3 linked regions of the Drosophila melanogaster genome follow. The protein of the gene in region 3 interacts with the protein of the main gene of each other region in a pairwise test. Each region holds a gene or a part of one and is shown on either strand. Other genes may lie near its edges.

Region 1 (7,852 bases), on a different chromosome or scaffold from region 3:
CGTGTTGGGTCTTTGCGCTTCTTCGTAGAAGGGAACTGGCTCCGCGGTCTGCAGCGCTGGTGGCAACTTATCGCCGCTACCCAAGGGGAATATGTAAAAGTCGCGTATCTGATCCGAGTCCACGCCCAGGACGCCCAGACGCTGACGCGAGTCCAGGTATTCGAAGAAGAGATCAAACTTATACGTTTCGCTGGGCGAGGCGGGGAATATGTTCACAATGACCACTTCCTTTGTGGGACTCTTCTTTAGCTTCTTGATATATTCCCAGACATTAACGCGGGTTATGCGACCGATTACGTCCATCTGACTTGGCATCAGGTTACCCAATTGATGGCAGTTACCCTGCACGGGGTACATGACGATTTCGAAGTCGGCCAAATCGATCATCTTGAGAGTACCGGACCACAGTGAACTCGTCGTCAGGCCGTGCAAGTAGCGGGAGTAGTTGTCCATTGGCTCAGGTGCCTTCAAAGAACTCGGAAGCGTTGGAAGTGGCTTGGGTGACGGCTTTGGTTTGCCTAGATTCGCCGCCTGCTCGACTGTTTTCTCCGATTCCAGAATTTGATCAACCAAGTTGTAAGCACTCGCCTCGGTTTTCTTTTCCGCCGTCTTTTTGGGTACCGGCGATTGGTCGTTTTCGTCCCTCTTCTTGGGCAAGGGTGATGGAACGATCTCATCCCTTTCCCGGCTCTGTTTCTCACGCGATCTATGCTCACGCTCCCCGCTGCCTGGCTGCTCTCCTCCTTCGTTGTGCTGCCTGCGATGGCGCTTATCGACGCTTCGACCCCGACTATTGGAACGACTTCGACTGCGCTTTCGATGATGATGCTTGTGGCTCTTGTGTCGCTTTTCCTTCGATGAACCCGCCTTTTCCCTGGACGTGGAACGTTCCAGTGTGGAGGTAGACGGCTCACTGACCAGCGACGTCTGTTTTGTGTCCGCCATAGATGATGCTTCACTAACGTTCTCTTCGGGCAGCGTAACATCCACTTTGGTGGCGATTACCTCCTCTCCCTTGTGTGTTTTCACCACATAGTTTTGGGCACATGCCAACAAGTCCAGCTCCGATTTCTTGATCATATCCAACTGGTGACGGTTTTCCTCCTCCCGCCACTTGGCCAACTCTTGGCTGGCCAGCTGTTCCGGCGTCATCCGCACCAACTGCCTGGGCTCCACTTGCTTGGCACAAATCTTTTCGAAAAGCGTTCGGTTCTTGCGATCCTTTATGTTGAACATAAGCGATCGATACTTGGCCTTGTACTTGGCTCCCACGTCTCGGCCAAACGAGTTGAACATTTCCAGCTCCACGTTCTTGACAAACTGATCCACCTCAAGTACGGTCGGCCACTGAGTCGTTGGCTGGCCAGAGTTCTCCTCGGCAGCCTGAGCTTCTTTGATTCGCGCTAGTAGTTGCTCCCTGAGTGATCGCCGGATGCCGATTCGAACCGGCTCGGGTTTGCCCGCTGCGATACGATTAGGGGTTGGCGCCTGTACTGTAGGTGTTGTCTTCTCTTTATCCTTTTTGGCCAAAGGACGCACGGAAGAGATTCCAAGTTGGTGGCTTGCCTGAACTGTGGTGTTTTGGGGATGGGACAATTTGGCAGGACCTTCAGGTGGCTTTTTTGCAACTCCTAGCACGGCGGGTTCTGAAGTTGAGGTGGCGGCTTCCGGTGCCCCTTTCAGCAAACGCTTCTCTGCGTCGGCTGACTGAACGGTTCCTGAGGGCAGCACCTCGAAGGAGGGATTCTCCTGAAGCCATTTCCGAAACTGATGTGCAGAAGGGGCCATGTGCCCGGTGATAACCCGACCACTTTTACGCTCAAACACATTAATCTGCAAAGCAAAGTGTGCACATTATTTGTTGTATAGTTCTAATTAAATTAACCTTTATTGCATACCCGTTCCACTTTTGACACAGTGTCCGCTTGCCTCAGCACGTCCTCAAACAAGTCCTTCTTCTTGTTCTTTTTGGCATCGAAGGAGTTGTTCAGCAAAGACTGAGCACCGGCATTCTGTGGCAATGGGCCTTTGGTAGCAGCATGTGCTTGAATTGCACTTTGGGCATACTTCCGGATGCACTCTTCGCCACAATAGACGGAAGAGGTGCTCGCCGGTCGCTTGCAGACCACACATAACGTCTCCGAAATTCGTTTGCCAGGTGATGGGCCCAGTCTGATAAAGTTCAGCTGCTGCTGCTGCTGGTGAGAGATTGCACCGGTTGGGAACTTTTTGGCCGGCTTTGCCATTGGAATACGCATGGGGGAACTGGCTACAGTTAAGACCACCGGTAGTGTTCTTCTGGGAGCCGAAGGAGCCGCGACCTGAACAATTTCTGCTGTCGTAGTTAGTACTTTGGTTTCACTCGGCCTCTGCTCAGGTTGAGTGGTTGGTCTGGTGACCAACATGTCTGTTATTCGTGGTTGGCTCTACAAAGATAACGAATCAATAAAAGGTAACTTTATGTCTATTGTATGACTTTACCCTCTCCTCCTGCCTTTTAACGCATTTGGGGCACTTCCAGTCGATGCCCTTGTTTTCCATATCTGTGCCCATCGCCTTGGTCACCCCCACGCATGTGCCGTGGAACCAATCCTCGCACAAATCGCAGCAGATCATGAAACGATTGTTGTGTGGCTGACGACAAATGCACCAGAGCCTAAACCAAAAAAAAAAAAAAAAAAACAAAAAAGGTTTTCAACAAACGCACAGATTTGCATCTATGAAATATCCAACTATAATCTTACTTGTTGGGGTCATCGTCATCCTCCTGAGACTCTGAAGCGTCGGGATCATTGTTCTGACTTGCATCAAGCTTCTTTGATCTTCTGGGTGCCGTTGAACGTCTGGCCATCGATGGCTCTCTAGGATTGGGTCGTTTCGGCCCACTTCCCGGCTGGCTGTCATTGCTCAGGCTGCTGGTATTGAGCGGCTGATTGATGCTCGCATCCAACGAAGATTCACCAAACGACAGGTTGCCTGCATCACTGGAACTGGTCGCAGCCATGCCCGGAGCTGAAGGAAACTGTGCTCGTCGCTTGGCCCGCGTGGTGGGGGCTTCAATGGGAGGCAGGTATATGACCCGACCGTAGCCGCGCACAACCTTCGCGGAGGTGGGCGGAGTGCTTGCTGCCACGCTCCTCGAGGGTGTACTGCAGGCAATCGGCAATGAGGTCATCGATTGTGCGGGCTCCGTAAGACTTGCATTCGGCAGTAGGTTCGTGTGTGCCTGTAAAGGAGCAATGCAGTTAGCTAGCAAAATCAATAACCAGGATATTCTACACTTGCCTGTACTTGCGGCACGTCTACGGGCTCAATGGACGTAGGCATAGATACGATGGCGTCCAGGGTTCCGGGCTCTGTACTAGCCAATACTTGCTTAACCACCTCGGCCTCAAACTGTTTGTCCTCCTCGATGAGACCGACCACGTGCTGGAGAAAATCAGCTGTAATCTCATCCTCATTCGCCGTATCCATTATATTATTCGGATCGGCTGCAGCTGCATTTCCCACTCCCTGCATCTCGGGAGCTGGAAAAATATTCGTAGGCAAGGACACTGGTGGCGGATCTAGATCCGCCGCTGTACTCTCCAGCATCTTAACCAGTTTCGGTATATCCTCGTCCGCATTTACTACCGGCTGCTCCACAAGCGTGGACTTAAGTAGCTCGTCCTGCACAATCGAGTTGATCAGATCGAGCTGCTTGTCATTTTCTGCTGCCAGCTCGGAGGAACTCTGGTGCGTCTCGATTACTATTTGGGCGGGCAGTTTATGCGACTGAGCTGTGTCCACGCCGATGGGCATGAAGCCCTTGGATGGGGTATGTGCCTGAGCAGGAACCGGAACCACAATTGGCGACATCTGCTGATTGTAGCTCGATCTCGGCGTGCTTGGCGACATGACGGCCCGGTGTCGGAGTGGAACTGGCGAAGATTTTGTGGCTGCATTGTTGTCCTCACCCAGCAAAGTGTTGAGATTGGTAAACACTCCTTTGGGACTGGCCATATTCTTGTTGATAATAATCTCTTTAACTTCCTGCGGCGAGTTTACGATCCTTCCCAATTGCACGGCAGGCATACGACGAACATTGGAATTGGCCGGTGTCGTTGGCAGTGGAGGTCTCTTCACAGGCAGCGATTGATGTGTGGGCCGGATTTTGAGAAACGATGTGCTTGGAAGACCTCTGCCTAGGGCAAACACTGCGGGCACTGATTTTGTGGCAGGCATCTGGATTATTTGCCCAATTTGCGGCGCCTTCGGCTCCAAAACTTCCTTGCGTTTCTTCAGCTCGGGGAAGTGCTGCGGCGTTGTGGGTGGCGGAGGCAGCGGCTTCATTGGTTTGCTGGGAGTCTGCCTAACCACCTTTCTAACCCGCTTCCTCTTATTCGGATTACGTCTATTGCTATGCCTCATATCGAAGTCCATGTCACTGTCCCTGTCGTTGTCCGATTCCTGGAACTCATCGCTCTCCTCACTCATTTCCTCCGAATCATAGGCCTTGTCGGCATTTTCCTCTTCGGCGGAATCCGAGCTTTGGGCGTCATCATCATCTTCGATGTATTCCTGCACAGGCGGAGCAATCACTTTGACTGGAGCACGAGTGGGCCTCAGCCTGGCATTGACCGAATTGTTCGCGATAATCTCTGGCTTCTGTCTTGGCAGTGGCGAATGGATGGGCTTGCGGATCAGCTGCACTTTCGGTTGCAGCTGCGCTGCCTGCTGAACTTGGTGGGGCTTGACTGGCAGTCTCTGGACCTTGACCTGCACCGGGCTTAAGGGTATGGCCTGGACTCGTTTTTTGGCATTGATTAGCTTGACACTGCCCGGTGCCTGCATTATGATTTTGCGGCTTTGGGCCTGCATTTCCATGGCCATCTTCTCATCGCGCTTGTGGTTCTTCAGCTGCTCTGGCGAGGTAAACGGTGTGTAGTTGTGGTCATTTCGAATAACTTCCATAAGAGCGTCTGTCTCCGCAGTCCTTTTGTAGACGGAAACTCCGGCAAGCTCTGTAAATAGAATACAAATTAGTTGAAAGCTAAAGTTCGTTTACTTTCGTTGTGCTCGAAATAATGATGTTGTTTTGCTTTATCATTTGGACCACATCGATGTACGTTATTTACTCAGTGCATTTTTCACAACCATATCAGCCGTGTTGTCCGCATAAAACTGCTCCACTCGCAAACCCACAATTTGTGGACGCTCCTTGGGTTTGCGTCGCTTTCGCTTTTTGATGGCCTTGGGCTTTCGGCCAACTCGCTTGCGTGTGCGCGGGGCATCGGCTTCCGTCTCCGTGGAGTCGCTATTGTTGTCGTCACCGGTGTTATGGTTCTCCTCGTCGTGTTCATCCATCTCACTGGCATTATCGCCACCACTTTGGCTGCCATTGTCACTGTCCAGCTCCGAGTCGGTGGCAGTTTCCATAAAGTTCGCCAGCTCCTCCAGCCGTTCGTCTTCCTCTTGGTCCACCATGCTCGGCGTGGGCGATGTAATCCGCACCACGCTAATGGTGGAAATCGATTTTTCCTCTGCAACAAGCCCATGTCAGTGTGGGGAGCAATGAGCGTGTGTCAGGCCTATTGGACCCACTTACCCATGATGTTCCCAATCGCACGCTCGTCGAAGGAGATTCCGCTCTTGCTGTAGACCACAACCAGATTGGAGTCGGCTTCGGCTGCCGCCGGCCGGGCGCTGGGCGCCTCCGTAAACACCGAACTGGACATGACGCCAACTGCTCGTGATCCCCGCTAGCGGCGCATTGGAGTCGGCGGCCCACACAGCGTGTACTTAATTAGCTTGGAACAGAACAACGACTCATTTGTTGTTGCATCCGCCGCGTTGTGACGCCGACATTGAAATTGGATAGTAGGTGGAAAACGGTCACTGGGCTGCGTTCGCCCTATACTTAATACTGGTGATGCTCTGCTGGCTGCGCCCACAAGCTGGCTGTTATATTGTTGAGATTCGAGAGCTTAATCCGTTGCTGTTTCGCTTTAAAATGCAAATTTTTCTCAATTATGAAAATAAAATTTGCAAAAAAAGCCACTTCCAGTGTGACCAGACTTGGGAATGATGCCGATGCTGTAGGTTATCGATAGTTTCTGTGCCTCGCTCTGCGGAACTAGTTTCAATTGCTAGCTCATTTGAACAAAATGTTAATCTGTGTTTATTTAGGGAAATCCTTTATTTTCAAGGTCGGCTGCCAAAAAGGAAAACCGTATGATAAATAAATGAATTGAGCTAATTAAAAATATTAAAGAATATATTTAAAAAAATAAAATTCCCGATCGATGAATTGTAATTTAAGCTTGTTTTTTTTCGCGTTCAGTTCTCGGTCATACTTTTGCGAAAACAGAAAACAAAAAACACTGATAAAACCCACATAATTTACTGCCTTTGTTAGCCCGGTTATTGGCTATTATCAGCTAATCTCACTTGCTCGAGCACTCATTGTTGTCCAGAGCGCCAGTTAAACTTTGTCCTCCGTCGCAACACCATGGCCGCCTTTCAGATGGGATCGGGTTACGCAGTGCCCATGACCCTCTTCCGGAACAACAGGGATCGTGCTGGCAAGGCCATCCTTAAGGAGCTGCTGCCGGGCCTCAAGTTCAACGACGGCAACCTGCTGGTGCTCCTCGAGGGCGGCAAGGACCAGAGCCTGTACAACACCGACGTGGACTACGTTTTCCGGCAGGAGTCCTATTTCCAGTACTTGTTCGGTGTCAAGGAGCCGGGCTGCTACGGCATCCTAACCATTGATGTGAAAACTGGTGCACAGAAAAGTGTTCTCTTTGTTCCTCGCTTTCCCGATGAGTACGGCACCTGGATGGGCGAACTGCTTGGGCTGCAGGAGTTCAAGGCCATGTACGAGGTGGACGAGGTGTTTTATGTTGACGAAATGAGTGTTTATCTGGAGGGGGCGTCGCCCAAGCTGATACTCACATTGAGTGGCACCAACAGCGATAGCGGGCTCACCCTTCAGCCGCCCGACTTTGCTGGCAAGGAGAAGTATGTGACTGACTGCAATCTGCTGTATCCAATTCTCTCTGAGTGCCGAGTGATCAAGTCACCCGAAGAGATCGAGGTGCTGCGCTACGTGGCCAAGGTATCCTCGGACGCGCACATCAAGGTGATGCGGTTTATGCGTCCCGGTAGAATGGAATTTGAGGGCGAATCCCTGTTCCTGCACCACGCCTACTCCGTGGGCGGCTGCCGGCATGCCTCCTACACCTGCATATGCGGCAGCGGAACGAACTCGTCGATCTTGCACTATGGACACGCGGGCGCACCCAACAGCAAGCCCGTCCAGGATGGTGATCTCTGCCTGTTCGATATGGGAGCCAACTATTGTGGCTATGCGGCCGACATAACCTGCACATTCCCGGCCAATGGAAAGTTCACCGACGACCAGAAGTTCATCTACAATGCCGTGCTGGATGCCCGCAATGCGGTCACAGAGTCAGCCCGTGACGGAGTCTCCTGGGTGGACATGCACAAGCTGGCGGGCAGGGTGTTGCTGCAGCGCCTGAAGGAGGGCGGCATGCTCAAGGGCGATGTGGAGGAGATGCTCGAGGCAGGTGTTTCGGGCGTGTTCCAGCCACATGGCCTGGGCCACTTGATCGGTCTGGATGTGCACGACGTGGGCGGCTATCTGCCCAAGGAGCCCAAGCGCCCCAGTGAACCGTGGCTGAGCAAGCTGCGCTTTGCCCGCATCCTTAAGGCCGGCATGTATGTCACAATCGAACCCGGCTGCTACTTCATCAACTGGCTGATGGACCGCGCTCTGGCCGATCCGAACATTGCTAAATTCATTAACGCAGAGATGTTCAATCGCTTCCGGAATTTCGGAGGTGTGCGC
Region 2 (3,530 bases), on a different chromosome or scaffold from region 3:
GAGCTAATCTTTTCTGAAATTAATAATCTGTTCATGCTTTCGAGTATAAACTTTAAAAGTGCTAAGCCACGGGTACAGAATAATAGTCTATAACGTGAATGTTTTTGGCAATAATCAGTCGTCAAATTCGAACAATGGTTTGCCATTGGTGTCCCAGGTGTTTTTGCATTTCTTAAAGGCACAAACCAAATAAAGAGCTGAAATAAGAAGCTATTTAGTAATGGAATTCAGAAGTCGATGCTGAGTAAACTCACTTGCTGCTTCCCATTCGGATTTCGAGAGGGTTCCCACCGACCTGCTTCGCTGTGCTCCCTGAAAGTTACTCACATGGGCGAACTCTTCATCATTCTCGCAGCGCTGTGGCTGCACCGACTCCAAGCCGGACATTCGCTGCAGAAGATGCCGCCCGTGGTGCAGATTTTCCTTGTAGTAATCCGCAAATGTGGAGCGCTTCAATAGCTGCAGACCGTATTTTCTGCCCAGCTTGACCAGCGTGGGAAAATGCACTAGGAACTCGGGGCAATCGACAACGCCCTCCAAGTGAAACTGATACTTGGCTCCGAAAAGCGGCAAAGGATCCGTTTCGCAGTCAAATTCAATGCTGTACACATCGTTACCGAAACGCCGGGCATCTGGACCGGCTGCCCTTAGCCTGCGGATGATCTCGTAGGCATCCGGCATTGTGGCTATGAAGAAGCCACCGGGTTTCAGACACTCGGCTGCATTCCGCATCATGCAATCTGCCTGCGCCATTGACTCGAAGCAATAGTGAAAGGCAAACTGACAGGACACGAGATTCAGCTGAAGCGAAGGATCCTTATACCGTTCCCGCAGGCGCACTAATGTGGAGTCGCAGGCAAAAAACTCCGCGGTAAACTTATTCGCAAATTTCGACTTCTCCGATCGCTGCAGGATGTCCTGATATCGCCGCTGGCACTGCTCCACCGACACCTCAGCGATGTCGGTGCAGATGAGGTGGGAGATGGCAGCCTTCTCCCATTTGAGAAGGTCACCGCCCTTGCCGCAGCACATGTCCAGAACTCTGAGAGCATCACCCATGCGTTTGTTCTGCTTAATCTGCGACATATACTCGTTGATCAGCTGGCTCTTGATCCAGTTGTTAAAGTTCCTCATGAAGAATATCTTTGACTTCTGACGATCCTTGCGGCCCGCCTCCTTCAGCTCGTTGTAGTGGTGTGCCACCACATGTGTGTTGGCCGCTCCGCTGGCAGCCTCCGTTTCCGGCTCATCCTGATCATCTGCTCCACTTCCATTGCCCTTCCCGCCAGGCTCATCGTAGTACTCCCTCGGTGATTTACTAACATGCGGCTCCTGATTTGGTGCAGACGTGGTCTCCGCTTGGCCCTCGCTCTCCTCGTCGTCCGACAGGCTGACTGCTTTGTGTGCGCGGGCGAACTGCTCGTCTGCCGCGTTTTGTTCGTAATTAAGACTCATAGTCTCTATTAATTTTCTGTTTTGCCGGATGACCAACAGTCGTTGCCTATCGAAGTTATCGGGTCAGTTAGGAATGAGTGCACGAGTGCTATCGGCACTCGATGTTATTTCGCGCGGAAAGTATTCAGAATAAGAAATATACATTTTAGATTTAAATTTATTTTTCTTCCTAATTAATTTTTTATAAACCAATATTCTCTAAACCATCCTCATTAGCTACTTTTAAGATTAAAGCTAAACAGATTTTAAAAGTTCCATCACTAGTCAAGCACTAGTTAACAGTGCTGTTAATGGAAAACATCAATCAGCTGTTGGTAACTCATGCATTTCTTAACTTTTTAAATGCGGTTGCTTGGAACTTTGAATAAATTTGTTAAATTATTGAATTATTCCCTTGCCCGGAATTTTCCAAAACGCAGCATGGCCTGCAGCAGATTCGAGTACGTTAAATCCTTTGAGCAGGACGACAGCATACTGCCTAATGTGTGGATAGTCATACGAATAGACGGCAAAAAGTTCCACAAGTTCTCCAAGACGCACGATTTTGAAAAGCCCAACGATGAAAATGGTAAGAAAAAACACTCATTATAGTTCTTAATAATCCCATTAAATATTCGCTTTAGCTCTCAATGTGATGAATGCTGCTGCCACGGCGGTGATGCAGGAGTTTCGGGATATTGTCCTCGCCTACGGTCAAAGTGATGAGTACTCCTTTGTTTTTCGCAAAGAGACGGCAGCGTTCAAGCGACGATCCGCCAAACTGCTCACCTACGTCACCAGCTTGTTCTCCTCGAGCTATGTAATGCAATGGTCCAAGTGGATGAATCTGCCATTGGCCTATGCTCCGTGTTTCGATGGTCGCGTTGTTCTGTATCCTTCGGAGCAGAATCTAAAGGACTATCTCAGCTGGCGACAGGCCGATGTGCATGTGAACAACCTGTACAATACCGCCTTTTGGAAACTCGTTTTGGAAAAAGGCCTGACGAACCAGCAAGCCGAGGCGAAACTCCGTGGCACCTTTTCGGCGGACAAAAATGAGCTGCTCTTCCAGGAATTCGGGATAAATTACAACAATCTGCCGGCAATGTACAGAAAGGGAACGATTCTGCTGAGAAAACGCGTGATATTGGGTGAGAAGAGCAGGCAGGCCGTGGTGCCGCTGCACGAGGATCTGATATCTTCGCAGTTCTGGAAGGAACACACCGAAATATTGGGAAAATATGTGCCAGGCACATACGACGCACCACAAACTTTTCCCCGATTGGTGGAGATGCAAATAAATGGCAAGGATGACAATGAGGCGGAGGAGCCACAAAATCTGGCTGGTACCAGCTGATATAATAACGAATAGTCTTGCATTTTTAAAGATTAAAGTTACGATACATCTAAGGAAGTCGTTTCGGAGATTGAGGATGCGGTGCCCAGGCTGCTGGAGTGAAGGACAAACGGATGATCCGTAATGAAGAGTAGCTAATAGTTGAAAGTTCAACTTATGGCATATATTTTAAGATTAAATCTACACTAAGCTCATAGAAAGACTATTTCCTACTAGTAGTCGTCGTCGTCATCGTCATCGTCATCCTCACTTGGCTTGCTGGCAACGGAGCCGTCTGCCAGCGGTGGTCGCTGCACCATTGCTGCCGCTTGCATGCTCATCCACTGCTGCTGCTCCTCGCGCGCCTGCTCCTCGCGTGCCTTGGCGAACAGCTCCTGCTGCTGGCGCAGCAGCTCCTCCTCCGGAATGCCCAGGTTCTCTAGGCGCGTGCTCTGGCGCCTTCGCTTGGCTGCCACCTCCTTGCAGTCGTGCAGAACGGCCTCCGCCTCTTGTTTGTAGTCGTGAAAACCCAAGCGTTCCAACGCCTCCAGGACGTGCTCTGCGTTTATCGTCTTCTTGTTGCGCATGTTGCACACCTCGTTGGCCTCCGAACTGATCAGATGAATGAACTCTGAGCAGCAGTTGAGTATCAGCTCGCGACTCTCGTTGGCCACCCGCACCGTGGGCACCAGCTCCTTGATGATCTTGTTGATGCTGGCCCGTGGCAGGGTCAGCTCGTCGTCCTCGGCGCTGGGCGGCA
Region 3 (3,669 bases):
CAATTTGTTTTCAGAAATATAAATACGGTAGCGTGCACTGGAACAGCTTTTGCACAACCTACCAGGATCCTATGTACTACTAATTAACTACTCAATTTTCGCTCGCTTTCAATCACATCTTTAATAGATCATCCTCAATCATCTTAAGCATAGTCTTAACAACTCATGTTGGGTGGCGAAAAGGTTTTGCCAAGCGAGAAAAATTCATATCAATTAGAATGGAGTGGAGCTTTTGGAGTGGATGCAATGCATCCTTAAGCCTTTCAATAGAACTTATTGTGCATGTCTGCGGTGAACAACGTAACGCGATCACAAACATCAATGTTATAATGGAAAGTGTGTGTTAACTGAGTGAGTGTGTGTGGGTGTGTGTGTGTGTGTGTGTGTGTGTGTGTGTGCTAGAACTGCAGCCGCTTCTTCTGGGCCAATCCATTGCCCCTCACCGTAGTCTCGACCAGCTTGCGCTTGAGCGCAGGCTTCGTGTCGCCGGTCTGCGGATTGGCGCCCTCCTTGGCGGCCAGAATGGCCGACGGCATTGGCAACTTGGGACCCACTGTGGGCGCCGGTTTGTTAGCGAAATACGGCATGCTCAGTGCCTCGCGGCAGGACACACGCCGCAGCGGATTCATGGCAAACAGGCGTTGCATCAGATGGATCAAGTCATTGCCCGCGGCGGTGAATATATTGTCCAATGGTGTGCCCGGAAAGTTGCGAAACTGCAGATAGTCGTGCAGTTTGCTCAAATGCGGCCATTCAGCTTCCGTGGGTGTTCCCAGTGTGGAAAAGATCCGTGTCAGCTGATCCAGATCCGAATCGCCCGGCATGAACGGCACTCGCAGCATAAGTTCAGCCAAAATGCAGCCAACTGCCCACATATCCACACCGGTGCCATATTGTCGGGCGCCAAAGAGCAATTCGGGCGAACGATACCAGCGTGTGACCACGTGGTGCGTGTAAATGCGATTGGGCGAACCGAAGGACTTGGCCAAACCGAAATCGCCAATCTTTAGGATGCCATCGCTGTTGACCAGCAAATTGTTGGGCTTCAAATCGCGGTGCAGTATCCAATTGAGATGCAAATACTCCAGACCCTTTAGCGTCATGATGGCATAGGCCTTGATGTTCGCCTGCGTTAATATAATCTTGTTATCCTTGATGATCACCTCCAGATCCGTGTCCATGAAGTCGAAAACCAGCGAGACATTCGAAAGTTGACCGAAAACGTCCACCAAGCCAATGATATTCTCGTGCTGCAGCTCCTGCAATATCTTGATCTCACGCAGCGCTGTCCTGTTGATACCGTCGCGTGCATCCTCGCGCGATCCCTTCTTGATCTTCTTTACGGCCACAATTTGGTTGGTCACCGTGTCGCGCGCCTTGTAAACTGTGGCAAACTGCGGTGCGAAAGTGGAATGCGCACATTGTTATGGATCGTTGGGTTGATATTCCGTGGCGGCGGACTCACCTGACCCTCGCCGAGGAAGGATAGCTTGGCATAGCGTTCCGTTTTGTCATTCGCATTGGGCAGCATCGTTTAGGAGCCTCATAAATAGCACGAAAATGACTGAAATGCTGCGAGGCCGAATCAAAACAATTCAAGTTCGCAAACGCTATCGATGGCCGATAACCGATGGACGCCGGTAGGGCCTATCGCGCGCCCCAAAAAAAATACTAGATTTCAGAGTCTATTAAGAATAATGCAAAAACAGCGTATTGCTCCTTTATTGCTAATCAATTTTATAGTTTAACAAGTTATGCAAATAATACACAACTGTCAATTTAAATTAGCTGCATGTGATTGTCATTTAATTTTAGCTACTTTTAGCTATGTGCAGTTTAACAACACTGCCAAACACCGGTGCGATAACATATCGATAGACCGCCCCAAACGATGCCTTCTGCTATCGATGACAGACTCGTTTTTTTTCTCAACAATACAGAGCAAATTGGTTGATTTTTGTCGAATTAAGTGAATAAAACGCACGACAGGATGGAGATGCTACCCAACCAAACGATTTACATCAACAATCTGAACGAGAAGATCAAGAAGGAGGAGCTAAAGAAGTCGCTCTATGCGATTTTCTCGCAATTCGGCCAAATTCTGGACATTGTGGCCCTAAAAACGCTCAAAATGCGCGGCCAGGCATTTGTGATCTTCAAGGAGATCGGCAGCGCTTCGAATGCCCTGCGCACCATGCAGGGCTTCCCGTTCTACGACAAGCCCATGCAGATCGCCTACTCCAAATCCGATTCGGATATTGTGGCCAAGATAAAGGGTACCTTCAAGGAGCGCCCCAAGAAGGTCAAGCCACCAAAACCAGCGCCGGGTACCGATGAGAAGAAGTGAGTATCCCAATTGCTAATTGGGCCCGTTTAGATTCAATCATTTGTTGCCAACGGCCATGGTGCTACCATTTGTTGCTCCCTGTTGCCTCGCAAAAACCCAATGTTTTCATTCGCACGCCTGAAATCCTTTTTGCTACTAAAAACATTTCCGCATTAACCAATGTTAGTTTTTGGCCAGAATTATGGACTTGAAAACCAAGAGGTGTCTCAAGTCTTCATAATATCTTTAGTTATCAACTCCTTTTTGCTCTTTAATCGATGCGATTTGAGTTTCAGTTGCAAAATGTTTCATTTTTGTTCATTTTTGCGCGACAAAAATCCGTAGTAATCCTAGTTTTCTGGGATGTGCGAATGACTAGGCAAAAAAAAAATGCAACTTCATGTGACACTAAGACAACTCCTTTTTTTTTCGTTTCGCACAGGGACAAGAAGAAGAAGCCGAGCAGCGCCGAGAACTCGAACCCGAACGCACAGACCGAGCAGCCGCCGAACCAGATCCTCTTCCTCACCAATCTGCCCGAGGAGACCAACGAGATGATGCTGTCCATGCTGTTCAATCAGTTCCCCGGCTTCAAGGAGGTGCGTCTTGTGCCGAATCGTCACGACATCGCCTTTGTGGAGTTCACCACCGAGTTGCAGAGCAATGCCGCCAAGGAGGCGCTGCAGGGCTTCAAGATTACGCCGACGCACGCCATGAAGATAACGTTCGCCAAGAAGTGAACGCAACTCCAGTCGCCGGGCGTTCCAGCAACTCCAATAATAATTTAAACTATAGAATAAATCGATATAAACAAACAAACTACGAGTATTCCATATGCCCATATCCCTCCCATATCCCATTTCGCCCAAAGATCCTTAAAGGCAAAAGTATAGAATAGAATAGTTGATTGTTTATTGTGTAGATCTATTTGTTTGTCTGCAAACTTATAACTAACAGCTAGTAATGCGTATTATTTATGTCGGTCGATTGTACATATTTCCATTTAGTGTATAGTATATGGTGTATAGTAGTATATATATATATATATATAGCGTCCCTTTGCTCAGTCTGCATGGTGTATCAAGCTCGCTGCAAAATCAACATCAGTTTGGTGTGCGGGAGCGTGTGTTGAGTAAGTCCCACAAGTCCTCGGATTCCCAAAATGTTTGCTATATGTAGAATCGTTCAGCGACGTAGTCCTCCTCCGCCGTAACAACATCATCAGGCTTACAATTGTAATGCAATCATCATACTTTAGGCACCACAAATGATGAGTATTATGAGTGTGCATAATAAATCTGGGATAAGTGTGTGTATTATATATATATATATATATATATACA

The links.
Region 1: the proteins of snf (region 3) and pps interact in a two-hybrid assay, tested with the Drosophila melanogaster proteins (one study listed by BioGRID).
Region 2: the proteins of snf (region 3) and THG interact in binary tests that used the Drosophila melanogaster proteins (3 or more experiments, as listed by UniProt).

Annotation. Positions count from the first base shown.
Region 1 is NT_033777.3:12,412,022-12,419,873, reverse strand, and holds the start of pps (protein partner of snf), read right to left. Parts: upstream 6,047-7,852; 5' UTR 5,718-6,046; coding exon 5,588-5,717; intron 5,523-5,587; coding exon 5,118-5,522; intron 5,004-5,117; coding exon 3,286-5,003; intron 3,227-3,285; coding exon 2,745-3,226; intron 2,657-2,744; coding exon 2,482-2,656; intron 2,427-2,481; coding exon 1,899-2,426; intron 1,834-1,898; coding exon 1-1,833. Other genes in the region: Dip-C (dipeptidase C), read left to right, coding at 6,491-7,852.
Region 2 is NT_033779.5:15,007,943-15,011,472, reverse strand, and holds THG (tRNA-histidine guanylyltransferase), read left to right. Parts: upstream 1-1,748; 5' UTR 1,749-1,769; intron 1,770-1,780; exon of another isoform or gene 1,781-1,874; 5' UTR 1,875-1,875; coding exon 1,876-2,023; intron 2,024-2,078; coding exon 2,079-2,791; 3' UTR 2,792-2,984; downstream 2,985-3,530. Other genes in the region: Rnmt (RNA guanine-7 methyltransferase), read right to left, coding at 115-197, 255-1,455; NC2beta (negative cofactor 2beta), read right to left, coding at 3,004-3,530. UniProt on the Drosophila melanogaster protein: Adds a GMP to the 5'-end of tRNA(His) after transcription and RNase P cleavage.
Region 3 is NC_004354.4:5,307,364-5,311,032, forward strand, and holds snf (sans fille), read left to right. Parts: upstream 1-1,878; 5' UTR 1,879-1,990; coding exon 1,991-2,343; intron 2,344-2,768; coding exon 2,769-3,066; 3' UTR 3,067-3,138; downstream 3,139-3,669. Other genes in the region: Cdk7 (Cyclin-dependent kinase 7), read right to left, coding at 399-1,394, 1,466-1,531. UniProt on the Drosophila melanogaster protein: Binds stem loop II of U1 snRNA. It is the first snRNP to interact with pre-mRNA. This interaction is required for the subsequent binding of U2 snRNP and the U4/U6/U5 tri-snRNP. Plays a role in regulating sex-lethal splicing.